Ovis aries: one gene and its partners. The protein of the gene in region 3 interacts with the protein of the main gene of each other region in a pairwise test. Links are inferred from orthologs where the notes say so. Each region holds a gene or a part of one and is shown on either strand. Other genes may lie near its edges.

What was found. The genes of interacting proteins can lie anywhere in the genome.
Region 1: the proteins of PSMA1 (region 3) and TRIM10 interact in binary tests that used the Homo sapiens proteins (3 or more experiments, as listed by UniProt). The two-hybrid records come from large-scale screens. The link is inferred for Ovis aries from reciprocal best matches to the Homo sapiens genes PSMA1 and TRIM10.
Region 2: the proteins of PSMA1 (region 3) and LDOC1 interact in binary tests that used the Homo sapiens proteins (3 or more experiments, as listed by UniProt). The two-hybrid records come from large-scale screens. The link is inferred for Ovis aries from reciprocal best matches to the Homo sapiens genes PSMA1 and LDOC1.

Annotation. Positions count from the first base shown.
Region 1 is NC_056073.1:27,844,219-27,849,015, reverse strand, and holds the start of TRIM10 (tripartite motif-containing protein 10), read right to left. Parts: upstream 3,095-4,797; 5' UTR 2,619-3,094; coding exon 2,190-2,618; intron 391-2,189; coding exon 295-390; intron 1-294. UniProt on the Homo sapiens protein: E3 ligase that plays an essential role in the differentiation and survival of terminal erythroid cells. May directly bind to PTEN and promote its ubiquitination, resulting in its proteasomal degradation and activation of hypertrophic signaling.
Region 2 is NC_056080.1:94,166,632-94,170,383, reverse strand, and holds LDOC1 (protein LDOC1), read left to right. Parts: upstream 1-1,578; 5' UTR 1,579-1,660; coding exon 1,661-2,101; 3' UTR 2,102-2,958; downstream 2,959-3,752. UniProt on the Homo sapiens protein: May have an important role in the development and/or progression of some cancers.
Region 3 is NC_056068.1:37,961,825-37,966,653, reverse strand, and holds the start of PSMA1 (proteasome subunit alpha type-1), read right to left. Parts: upstream 3,126-4,829; 5' UTR 3,067-3,125; coding exon 3,064-3,066; intron 1,469-3,063; coding exon 1,424-1,468; intron 1,173-1,423; coding exon 1,071-1,172; intron 952-1,070; coding exon 848-951; intron 1-847. UniProt on the Homo sapiens protein: Component of the 20S core proteasome complex involved in the proteolytic degradation of most intracellular proteins. This complex plays numerous essential roles within the cell by associating with different regulatory particles.

The DNA of each region.
Region 1 (4,797 bases), on a different chromosome or scaffold from region 3:
GATGTAAGGAGGGGGTGAGGAAACCTTACTTCCTGCCGTTTACCAAGTGTAACAACGTGCGTGTCACTAAGGGACAGTCGTTACAGCAATTCAGTGAGATAGTGACGATTTTTAATCTTCACTTCACAGGAAAATAAACAGAGCATAGAGAGCTGTTTGAGGTCATAGAGCTAATTTGTTTCAGGATTCAAACTCAGAAGGACTTCAAAGCCCCTTTATGCGATGTTTCCTTATTTCAGATAGGCACTGGAGCCAGAGGAAAGCAAGAGGGCTAAGGAAGGGATGATGACCTACCAGGAGGACTTGTATCCTTCGATTTTCCCTTGACTGGATTTCTTGAATCTCCTCTCTCTCTTTTCTTAGACATTCAAGACACTTCTGTATTTGTTCCTGGAAAGAAGGGGCATAAAATATCTAAGATGGAGGTGGGGGAGGGATAAATGAGAAGTTTGGGATTAGCAGATACAAGCTACCATATGTAAAACAGATAAACAACAAGGACCTACCGTACAGCACAGGGAACTAAATTCAATACCTTGAAATAAATTATAATGGAAGAGCCTGAAAATATTTATGAACCACTTTGCTGTACACTAGAAACTAATACAAAGCTGTAAATCAACTATACTTCAATTAATTTTTAAAAAATATTTAAGATGGAAACAATGATTTGTGAAGAAGTGTCATCTCTGTCTCCTGGAATAGAGTGACCCAATGGAAGGAGTTGGGCCTCAGCTGACAAAGCCTGGGTTGTTATTGTCCTTAACAGCTGACTCTCTTTGGGTCTTTTTCCTCTTGTTTGTCCCTCCAAGAATTTTGATCAGGGCTTTCCCCCTTTAACCTGCACCATGATAGGCTATGATTCCATGTTCCCACCTGAGCCTTCCTGCTATCAGGTTGTGTAAATGTGCTCAGTCGCTTCAGTCTTGTCTGACTCTGCAAATTTATGGACTGTAGCCCTCCAGGGTCCTCAGTACATGGGATTCTCCAGGCAAGAATACTGGAGTAGGTTGCCATGCCCTCCTCCAGGGGATCTTCCCAACTCTGGGATCGAACCTTCATCTCCTGTGTCTCCTGCATTCAGGCAGATTGTTTACTGCTGAGCCCCCGGGGAAGCCCTGTCATCAGGCTAAACAGACTCTAATTTCTTTTGCCTTTAGAAATGGTATCTAGGGTCTGTCCTGAATTTGATATGCCCTTCTTTGAAATTATCCTAACTTTCTCACATCTCCCAAAAGGAGCACCTCCAAACAACCTCTGTTATGAATGGAATCAACTTTCTGAGTATGATCTGGAGGGAACAAGAAACATGGATAATGCAAAAAAAAAAAAAAAAAATCAATGACTTATTTTAAAAATTGCTTGCTCTTGCAGACTTCCCTGGTGGTCCAGTGGTTAAGACTTTGTGCTTCCACTGCAGGGGGCACAGGTTCGATCCCTGGTTGGTGAACTATTAATAAGATCCCACAGGCCACACGATGTGGCCAAAACACCCTCCCAAAACAAACATACAAAAAATTTCTTGCTCTAGAGAAGAGTTACAAACAGTTATACACATATTAATGCCCATCAAAGTACACTGCAAAATATATTTAGAACTCTTCCAATACATGCTAATTAACTAGCTGACACATATACACAGACACCTACTTGTAATAAAACAAGATGCATAAACAACTAAAACCAGCATACGCTCATTTAATGACAGAGAAAATTACACACTATATGTATCTACCCAACCTGCATATACGTAAACACTAATTTACTCACAAACATGAGCACTCAGTTACACATACACACTCAAATTGTCAGATCCCCCCAAACACATTGCATCCACTGGGAAACGTGCAAACATTAATACTAATACACACTATGCAATCACTTCCTCAAGTGCAAACCCAGGCATCCTCAGACACACCTGACTGATCCAGGGCCAGACACACATGCTCGTGTTTTGGTGACTCATTCACTCACTGTGTGTTTGTTGAGCTACTATTATGCGTTGGCCGTAAGGAAACAATATAGGACATACTTAAAACACAAACACACGATCTTGCATTCCTGGGTCTATTGCCTGGCTGATGATAAAATAGAGAGTGGCCCAAATCATCCACCCCTCCGCTCTGCTTCTTTCAGTCTAGTCGCATCCGAGACCCACCCCCAGAAAGCTCTCAGTTTCCCCTTCATACCCGGTAGGGCCCCGCTGCATCCTCCAGGAAGCGCACGGTGTGGGCGCGGTGCTCCCAGGCCTCCCGGCACACCACGCACAGCTGCATCTCGTCGTCCTCACAGAAGAAGTAGACCTTCTCCCCGTGCTCTGGGCAGACGTCCTCCTCGTCTAAGTCCATCTGGGACACCAGCTTGAGACGCTCGATGTTCTCCACCACGTTGGCCAGCTGCCAGTTGGGCCGGAAGTTCCCTGGACGGAAAGGCTCCTTGCACAGTGGGCAGGTCGGGGGCTCCTCGGGGTCCAGGCTGGTGATCTCCAGGTAGCGGATGAGGCAGACGCGGCAGAAGTTGTGGCCACAGTCAATGGTGACCGGTTCTCTGAGGGTCCCTTGGCAGACGGGGCAGTTGACCTCATCTGCCAGGCTGGTCACGGAAGCAGCTGAGGCCATGGTGCTGCTGCTGCTGCTGCTTGTGACCTCTTCAAGGTCACCTTCTCTGCTCGGCTCTGGGGCAGGGCTGGGAGAACAATGAGGACGCACAGCGCACACTCACACACCCACATGCACACACGGCCAGACACAGGGGCACCCTACATACCCAGCCTCATGGTCACACACATACACACCTGGACTTGCGCACAAGAGCAAGGCGCCCACTGGCATGCCTGCAGCCAGGGCTCTGCTTTCCCCCTCCCAGAGGAGCAGACACACACCTCCAGTGGCAGAGATGGAAACAGCAGAGGAGCAGGAGAAGAAGGGGTGACAGCCTCCCAGAGATGACCTCAGTTACTGTCTCAGCTGGTGCCCATGACCAGCAGGTTGCTGCTTCGTCCCGTCCATCCAGAGACCCTCGCGGTAGAAGGAAAGTATCTTAACCACCCATGGGTGGAAGAGACTGTTCTTCTTTTGGGAGCAGGAGGGAGACTGGGTCACAGAGCAGTGATGCCACCCAGCCTCCCTGCAGTATGACCAGCTGTCTCCAGGGAGATTGAAGGTATCAGCCAACCCAGGGGAGTGTGGGGATCCAGATAAGGGTGTTGTACCCGGGGCGGGGGCGGTGGATCAGGGCACAAGCAACTTCACCAGTGATGCTCCAACCGGCCTGCCGTCGGCTGCCCAAGGGGTTGGAATGTACTCTGTGTGGGGGAGGAGAGAGAAAAATAACACCAGCCAGAGCTTATTTACGATAGCCATATTCCTCATACTGACATAAGCAGTTTAAACATGCCATCTTATTTATTCCTCCAGGCTGCTCTGTGACGTCAGCGCTGTTACGATATTAGCTGAGCTCAGCCAGGTTACTTAGCTTGCTCAAGGCACAGAGGTAGGGAGGTGAGAGGCCATAATTTGCACTGAGATTTGTGAGTTTCAGAGTCACGCTCTCCAACAGAAATACCATGTGAGCCACATGTGCAATTTTAAGTTCCAGTAGCCATATTTTTTATAAGTGAAACTAATTGTTGTTGTTGTTCCATCACTGCAGCAGGCCAGGCCTCCCTATCCCTCACCGTCTCCTGGAGTTTGCTCAAGTTCATGTTCATTGCGTCAGTGATACCATCCAGCCATCTCATCCTCTGGCGCCTTCTTTTCCTTCTGCCCTCCATCTTTCCCAGCACTAGGGACTTTTCTAATGAGTCGCCTGTTCACATCAGATGACTAAAATACTAGAGCTTCAGCTTCAGTATCAGTTCTTTCAGTGAATATTCAGGGTTGATCTCCGTTAAGACTGGCTGGTTTGATCTCCTTGCTCTCCAAGGGACTTAAAGGAGTCTTCCCCAGCACCACAGTTCAAAGGCATCAATTCTTTGGCATTCTGCCTTTATTACGGTCCAACTCTCACAACTGTACGTGATCACTGGAAAGACTATAGCTTTGACTATACAGACCTTTGTCGGCAGAGTAATGCCTCTGCTTTGCAACACACTGACCAGGTTTGTCATCACGTTCCTGCCAAGAAGCAGTCATCTTCTGATTTCAAGGCTGCAGTCACCATCCACAGTGATTTTGGAGCCCGAGAGGAAATCTGTCACTACTTCCACCTTTTCCCTTTCCATCTGCCATGCAGTAATGGTGCCGGATGCCATGATCTTTTTTTAATATTTAGTCTTAAGCCAGCTCTTCCACTCTTCTCCTTCATCCTCATCAAGAGGCTCTTTAGCTCCCCTTCACTTTCTGCCATTAGAGTGCTGTCATCTGTCTATCTGAGGTTGTTGATGTTTCTCCTGCCTGTCTTGATTCCGGCTTGTAACTCATCCAGCCTAGCGGTTCTCATGATGTGCTCAGCATATGGATTAAACAAGCAGGGTGACAGGAAACTAATATTTAGCCCCAAACATTACCAATGTGTGTAATTGGTAGAAAAAATTAGTCATGAGACATTTTACATTCTTCTTATTTGGCGCTAAAGTCTTTGAAGGGGCTTCGAGGGTGGCTCAGTGGTGAAGAATCCACCTGCCAAGGCATGGGTTCCATCCGTGGGTCGTGAAGATACCCTGGAGACGGGCATGGCGACCCACTCTAGTGTTCTTGCCTGGAGAATTCCATGGACAGAGGAGCCTGGTGGCCTACAGTCCGTGGGGCTGCAAAGAGTTGGACATGACTGAGCAAGTAAACAACAACAAAGTCTGAA
Region 2 (3,752 bases), on a different chromosome or scaffold from region 3:
CTGTCGGCCAGGCACTTTTCTTGCATTATGGATAGAGCAACCAACAAAGCAAAGCCTCTGTCCACACAGACTTCCATATTAAAGTGGAGGCCGACAAATACACAAAGTGCTGTATGATATAATGGCTACTGGTGTGATAAATGCTGTGCAGAGAAATGAAGTGAGGCAAGGGGTTAGAGATTACTGGCAGAGAATGGGGTGCTCTGATAGGTGAAGTGGTTAGGAAAGTCCTCTTTGAAACCCGAGGGAGAAAGAGTCAGGCAGTCAAATGAGGAGAGAGCCTTCCAAGGCAGGAAAAATAGAAAGTACAAAGGTCCTGGGGCCAGAGCTACTTGTGTGCAAGAATCAGCAGAGAGAACAATGTGGTTAGAGCACAGCAGGAACTGAGAGGAGGCGCAGATGAGGTAGGGCCTGGTAGGCCATTACCAAGACTTTGGTTTTTCTTTTGACTGATAAGGGAAAACTATTGGAGGGTTTACAGCAGGGAGGGGAAGTGATCTAACTTTTGTTCTAAAGGAGTCCTGTCCTTACTCTGGGGAATACATACACTATAGGAAGAGAAGAATGGAAGTTAAGTGGTTAGTTTCAACAGCCTGTGTGAGAAAGGAGGGCTGGGACCAGGGTGGTATTGGTAGAAGTAACAAGAAGTGATTCGACTGGGAATATATTTTAAAAGGTGTTCCAACAGAATGTGGTGGCCCAGAGGCTGTCTCCCCAACTCATTTGTCAACTATTTGAATAATCGCATTCAAAGTAGAAAAGCAAAGCCATTTTTAAAACACAAGTGTTTATTGTTAAGCAGGGGATAAATACCCAGTAGTCAAGGGACACTAACATTAGGACAGAAATAGAGTCAAAGATAGGCAGGACTCCTGCAAATGGTGATTGGATGCTAAATTTTGCAGAACTTTTTACACTTTGCTATTTACAAAAATAATTTTAAACAAAGGGATAGAAGTACACAATACTATTTTCCAACCAAAGAAAAATCCCTTTTAAATATCGCTTTGTCATGAAAGACAGGACCCCTGAGGGTCTTTCATAACTCTTACAGGGTGTGACGCTGGCGTGCAGCCAGCACTGCTAACGGTTCTTTGGGTGAGGGAGATTTCATAAGCCAAGAAATGTGTTAAAACCACTCAGAGGGAACCCAGGGGCTACTGGCCCTCCAAGGAACACCGAGATGTATGAGTCGGCTTGGCTGAAGGGTGGTGAGTCCTTTAAACCTGAGCAGGTTGAACCTCTCTGAGAGATGGGTCTTTTGCGCTTGCACGGTCCAGGCTACGGCCCGACCCACATCCAAGGTTGGGTCTTCGCCTTTATCCAGCGGCCCCCGGACCTGCGAGCGCGGACGCCGAGCCCTAGTCCGGGCCACCCCGGCCCCGCCCCTTGCCTTCCCCGGCCCCGCCCCTTGCCTTCCCCGGCCCCGCCCCTTGCCTTCCCCGGCCCCGCCCCCTCCAGCCGGGCGGTGCCTGAGCGGGGCCGTCAGCTCGGCTGTGTGGGCGGAGCTTGCGCCGCCGCCGGGACCCCTGCGCGCACCGCCCCTCGCTCCTAGCCACCGCGCGTCTCCTCTGACACGCACTTCCTGCGAGGCCTCCGAGAGCACCTTAGCCTAGCCGAATCGAGCTGCGCCCTGCCCTGCCTTTCCAAGCTGTTCGCCATGGTGGATGAGCTGGTCCTGCTGCTGCACGCGCTTCTGATGCGGCACCGCGCCCTTAGCATCGAGAACAGCCAGCTCATGGAACAGCTTCGGCTGCTGGTGTGCGAGAGGGCCACCCTGCTGCGCCAGGTACGTCCGCCGAGCTGCCCTGTGCCCTTCCCCGAAACGTTTGACGGCGAGAGCTCCCGGCTCCCCGAGTTTATCGTGCAGACGGCGTCTTACATGCTCGTCAACGAGAACCGATTCTGCAACGACGCCATGAAGGTGGCATTCCTGATCAGCCTGCTCACCGGGGAAGCCGAGGAGTGGGTGGTGCCCTACATTGAGATGGATAGCCCCATCCTGGGCGATTACCGGGCCTTCCTCGATGAGATGAAACAGTGTTTTGGCTGGGATGACGACGAAGAAGACGAAGACGAAGATGAAGAAGATGAGTATTAGGCCCGGAGACCCTCGGGCCTAGAGGGGGAAGGGCACTGCCCTCCGCCACCCCCGCTGCCTCCCCGCCTCGCCCCGCCCGGAGCCACCGCGCTCCCCTAACGCTGTGATCCCCTGGCCTTTCCCTCCCCTCTGGTTGTCTTCCTCACCCTCCACTCTCTGCCGTAGTGCTTGTCTTTGTTCCAGGCATAGTGCTCTCTAGTCACCTGCTGCTGAGGCTGGGGCGTCTCTGAAGTGCACTCTGCTGCCCACTCTGGCCAGCCCCAGGACCCTCACTGCTCGTTAGAACTGTGTTCTGAGCCCCAGCTCTAGGGCAAGCCCCTCTTACAAACCGGTCAGCCTATACTCTGCCTTGCTGACTGTCAGGCCTGCACCTCTGCCCAGCGACCTGCGCTGCCACCCAAGCACCCTCCACCAGATTCCAGCGATAGACCCGGCCTTTGGAGATCAGGAACAATCTAGAAGATGCCTTTGTGGGCTACACCTCCTGGGACACTGATTTGGACTGCTCACCAACAACTCCACCCCCCTCCCCAGGGGCTAATCTTTCAACTTGATTAATTGTTCCCTACTAACTCCAGGTCTTCCTCCTGGCCCACCAGATTGCTGCAGGGGCCCATTGTGCCTGGCAACCCAATTGTTGACATTTCTCCTATGCATCAGTTTTGCACACCCGTCATCTTCATTTCAAAATTGCAGCAGTCCCATCGAGGTGTGCATTTGGACAAAAATACTAAAAACCGAACAATACAAACAAAAGCAAGTACTCAGCCCAGCTCCTCAATGCTACCTGGAAAAAGCATTTGCATTCTTTTCAATAAATTTCAAGCACTACCAAAAAAAAAAAAAAAAAACAACAACAGCAAGTGTCTTTTCATGGTTAAGGGCTATCATTGGCCTTTGCCACTTTCACCCTGACTCATTATTCCCACTGGCATCAGGGAATCTCATTCAACTTTCAATCTCTGTACTCCCCACTGTCACGACTAAACTCCAGAGGACAGTTACTACAGGGCTTTATGGGGAAACTGGTACTACCCCCACTGATGCCTTTCTTATAGCCCTGGTGAAGGGAGTGTTCTCTGGTGCTTCTGAGGTGGCATGGGTAAGGGGTGGCTGAGCAGGCAGGTGGCACACCATCCCAAACTGGGACAATTTTGAGAGAGCTTCAAGGGGACACTATTAATAATTAGACTGGAACAACAAGTACAAGTCAGGACACACAATATTTCTATTTTCATGAACTTTGGGGTTCTTCCTCAACATGGTCAGAGATGTTCTGCCTGTTAACTCTTAGTGCCTGTGGGGTGCTATTGATTTTAGGCTTCAATACATAGTGTAGCACATTGTTTTAAAACCCCTTTTAGGTGCTTGAGCTAACATTAAATCCCAGATCCTGGATAAATGTGTGCATACTAAATGGAGCCTGATTTGAACATTTCATCTTCCTCAGGCAGATCCCCTTAGAATTCCCACCCATCCATGTGCCCCAGATTCCTGCCTGAAGAAACTGACAAGATACCTAGATCTTGTACTACTGCTGTCTGAGCTATGCTGAGATCTCTCTGTGGGCCTGGAAGGCTCAGAGGCACTGAGGTAGTGGGGTGAGTGTTGAGAAGAAACTGCATACCTTTGTGGGGCAATTACCCAGTTA
Region 3 (4,829 bases):
ACTCACCAAATAACTTGAAAATTTTAAACATCAGCATTATTAACTGTCTTCGGTGTTTATATTCCTCCTTTCCTAATTAAATCACAGACGAGATTATTTGTGGCTAACTACCTCCTACTTACCAACACATACACTGAAAGATGCTGTATGAAGTGTTCTACATGTTAGGCTATTTGTCAATAACCTTGGAAAAAAAATACTAAAAAAATTCAGAGTTTGAGTAACTAGAGCAACATCAGATTGAGTGTTAAAAGTGGGAATTAAAGACTGTGTGATCCCAAAGCCCCAGCTCTTCATCTGCAATATGCCTCTCAACTGGAAATAATCTTTATCCCCCACCCCCTCCAAAGAAATATACCTGTTGCTCTCCACTTTCTACCTTGTATTGCAGATATTCTACTAGATTTTAAGCTCCTAGAAGATGAGATCTGTCTGATTCACCTTTGTATACTCTTTGTATCCAGTATTGAGCTTTGCAAAAAATAAATGTCAAATGAATACTGGTATATTAAAGACAGCAAAGGTGGTTCAGCTGATCCTTCAGAAACCTGGTGTCAAGCTCTTCCCAGATCTAACATCAAACTATATATACTGAGTTAACAAGTAATACATTATTCAATGACTTCTAAAAAGCATTAATGTTAATGTGGTTAATCCTATTAATTACTGCTACAGTGATCAAGAAATGGAATACTTAGTAACTGAGCCCAAATACATTAAGGTATTAATAATCTTAACTTATAAACACTCTAGCAGACAACTTCCTAAAATATCCGGATTGTTTCTAGATATGTAATCAATTATGAATCAAAAGGGATATTTCTTTTGTTTTCCAGGTCATACTCACCATAACAGTCGAGCATCAGCAGTAAGTCCCGCAATTGAGATACCAATATGGTTATCAACATGGAGAATTTTTTTCTGATGAGCCGCAAGTTCTGACTGTGCTCTCTAAATAGAAACATCATTTAAGACAAAAGAGTAAGTTTATAATTTTATTATTTATATAGTGAAACTAACATTTTACAGTGTTTTCTAAAGGAGGAAGATATATTTATTGCTTTACTTACCTTCAATGCAACCAACACTGCATGAGTTTTTGATTTCAGACCAACTGTGGCTGAACCTTGTTTGACAGCTTCCATTGCATATTCAATTTGATGAATTCTGCCCTAAAATGAAAAAAAAAAAAAAACCCAACACACCTTAGTCATTACAAGACCCTTTTATATATTTAACATAATTTAGCAATCCCAAATCTCAAGTGGGCATAGTTACATCTCAAATGCTGTTTCTTAAAACTAGAAGACTGACTTTAATGATAAACTTAGGTTTCAGGAACGTATAAAATGATTATATTCCATTTTCTCACTTCCTACAATCCCATAAGCTTCTAAACACATTGCAGTAACCAAAAGTTTACCTGAGGGCTCCAAACAGTGACATCATTGTCATACTGGTTGCGAAACTGAAAGTAAATGAAAAAAGACCTATTAACACAAGAACATTACAAATTCAAAATCTTCACAAGCTCTATCATTAAAAAATGTTCTCCCATCTCTCTCCATCCAGCATTAAGGAAAAGCTGCTATTGCAGTCTCATTGGAAGATTACTACTGTAATCAGCTGCAAGTCAATTTTACATTTATAAGGAGATGGGGGGGGGCGGATCTAAATGGTACATAGCTTCCCAATCAGTCTAGCAGTTCTAACACTGTTCATAGTACTTGGTTTGGGTTTAGTCAATTACTAAAGTTCCTATATGTCCACTTTCCTTTCTATCTTTGCTAATATTCTTCCCTTTTTTCAGACCCTAATAAATGGTCAAAAACATTACTACCTTTTCTTAAGTCAGCTCAAATGTCTATCTCTTGAAATCTTCTCCATCTTTTCTCCCCAAATCTCAAAACATATTCCCACCAGTTCTTTATCTACACTTACTTTTCTGCCTCATACTACGATTTGGGATATGTCTGATTTATCCTTGAACCTTCACTGCCCTTAAAACATTCATATTGAACGTGCCTTTCATTCATTCATACTGAATGAGAACACAAGAATGTCCCCAGGAAGTCATAAGTGGACACAAACTGCCATAAAAACAGACCCATTACAGCTTTAAAGACGGTATTAAGTCCACCAGCACAGTGCTTGGGAGACTAATCATGGGGGTGAGAAGGTTGAGCGCTGGAATGGCAGGCACTGGCCTGGAATCCCTGAGCTCTATACTATAACCCTGATTTCATCACTAATATCAGCTTCGGTTCACTCATTTGTCGGAGAAGGCAATGGCACCCCACTCCAGTACTCTTGCCTGGAAAATCCCATGGACGGAGGAGCCTGGCAGGCTGCGGTCCATGGGGTCGCTAAGAGTCGATACGACTGAGCGACTTCACTTTCACTTTTCACTTTCATGCATTGGAGAAGGAAATGGCAACCCACTCCAGTGTTCTTGCCTGGAGAATCCCAGGGACGGGGGAGCCTGGTGGGCTGCCGTCTATGGGGTCGCACAGAGTCGGACACGACTGAACCGACTTAGCAGCAGCAACAGCAGACAAAGTGATTGAAAAGGGCTTTTTCTGACAGAGCTCTAAGAAAAAGACTGCAGAGGGACCCGCCAAGAAAATGAACGCGGTCCAGGCAGCAACCCAAACCCTGGAATCAAGTCCGCACTTGGCAGTACAAGGAGGTCTGAAGTTAAGTCCCTATTTTTCCTTTCTGCCACACAGAGCACTAGGGCCCTCTCTGGACCGCTCGGAATTTACTCGACTGAAGGAATCTGAGGAGCGAAATCGGCTGGTAGACCGAGAAGATACTGTTCAAGACCCCGTGGAAAGCGAAACAAACCCCAGGGAAAGGTCGCAGCGGCAGCACAGACTACCGACCTCCACTCTCCCGGCCAGGCCGGAGATGCTGAATCACCGCCTGAACCATCCCGTCGGCAACGGTTCCTAAGTCCCATGGCCCCGGGCCGCTCTAAGGAAGGCATGAGAAGAAGCTCCCCCTACCCCCCAGCCAGCGGACCTCTTCCCCAACCCTGCCTAATCTCGGAATCCAACGCACCATGGTTCCGGCGCGAGCCTGGCTTCGGCCTCCTGCAAACCAGCGGATGGAACAGCACTGCCGAAACTTCCGCTCGGCGATCTACAGAGAAGACTGCGGACTTTGACGGCGGCGGCGCAGGGTAGAATAGTTTATTCCAGAGATATCGATAGGCTTCCCTTGCTTCCCCGCCCTCAAAGCTCTCAGGCGGCTCAGAAGTGGGAGGGGCCTGGGAAGCTAGAGGAACTGAGATTGGCTGGAAACCTTGGCCAGGAGTGCCCGCGGGAACTAGGAGCTGCTGGGCTGCCGCTACCAAGTACCCCTTCTTGGGTTCTTGGTGAAGTTACCTCCGTGTTGCTGACTCCTGTCAGTTTCTCACCGGCCTGACCGGATGCACCAGAGACTACAGGTGATCGAGTGTGTGGCTCAGTCTCCCCTTAAACGATATATGAGGTGTTGGGTAATATGAGAAGAACGATACTGAAAGAAAGGCCACAAATAATGGTCCGTTTTTGTGCCAACCATCCTCTCTCTCTATCTTGTCTGTGAACATGCTTTTCTTTCTACTTTGGAATCCTTTCTCCTACTCCTTGGAGAACTCATCTTTCAAGGATTTGTTATCATCAGTCTTTTTAACATTATTATTGGTTTTACCCCAAGAGACTTTGCTCTCTGAGGGCGCCAGTGTCTTTCTGTACCTTCAAAACCAAGCACGATGCTGAAAGATTAGGCAACTAAGGAAAAAGGTAGACATTTTCTTCCAAGACACATATTTTCTCTTTTGTGAGCAATTTTTAGTAAATCCTCGAATGAAATAGTTTAGGACAGTTGTGCAATCAGCTGCCAACCTAACATTTACCGACTGCCAACGATGAAGTGAAGTGAAGTCGCTCAGTCGTGTTCTACTCTTTGCGACCCCATGAACTATACAGTCCATGGGATTCTCTAGGCCAGAATACTGGAGTGGGTAGCCTTTCCCTTCTCCAGGGGATCGTTTCAACCCAGGGATCGAAACCAGGTCTCCTGCATTGCAGGCGGATTCTTTACCAACTGAACCACAAAGGATGGTATTTTCTTTATAAAAAAGAAAGGATGGATACCTAGAGTCATATAACGGAAGAGTTGAGAGGGTCCTTAAGTATCTAAGCTTTGCAGGTGAAGAAGAGACTCAGCTCACTTAAGTGATTTGCTCAAGTTCCCAGCAATTTAGTATCAGACTCTTTTTTTAAACCTTGTCTCATATATTTTGGACATTTCTTCATGTTAAACATTTTCTAGGTTAAACATGACTCCCTAGTATTATGCACTGGATATTTTATTTACCCAAATTCCTAGTCTTTAATATTTAGGTTACCCCTCTCCCAGGCAGCTTATTTATGACATATCTTTTGTATACACATCTGCACTCCTTTTTTTAGAATAAATTCCTGAAAATGGAATTGTAGGGTCAAATGAAATGGATATTTCTAAGGCTTTTATAAAAAGTACTAAATTGCTCTGGAGAAATGTTTTACCAAAATGTATTCTCAACCCTTGTCTATGAGTGATCCCTTTCTTAAATTCACCAATATTGCTTGTTGTCATTTTTCAAAATCACTGTAAATTTAGTAGATTAAAAATTTAGTAGATTAAAAAAAACAAATGTTTTTTTGTTTTCCCAGCACCTAGCATAATGCCTACTACATATTAAGAGCTTAATAAATAATGCTAAATGAGTGAATAATGAATGTTGAATGGATGCTTAAAATTATTATTTAGCACATAAAAATTTTGACAGTTCTTTTCTA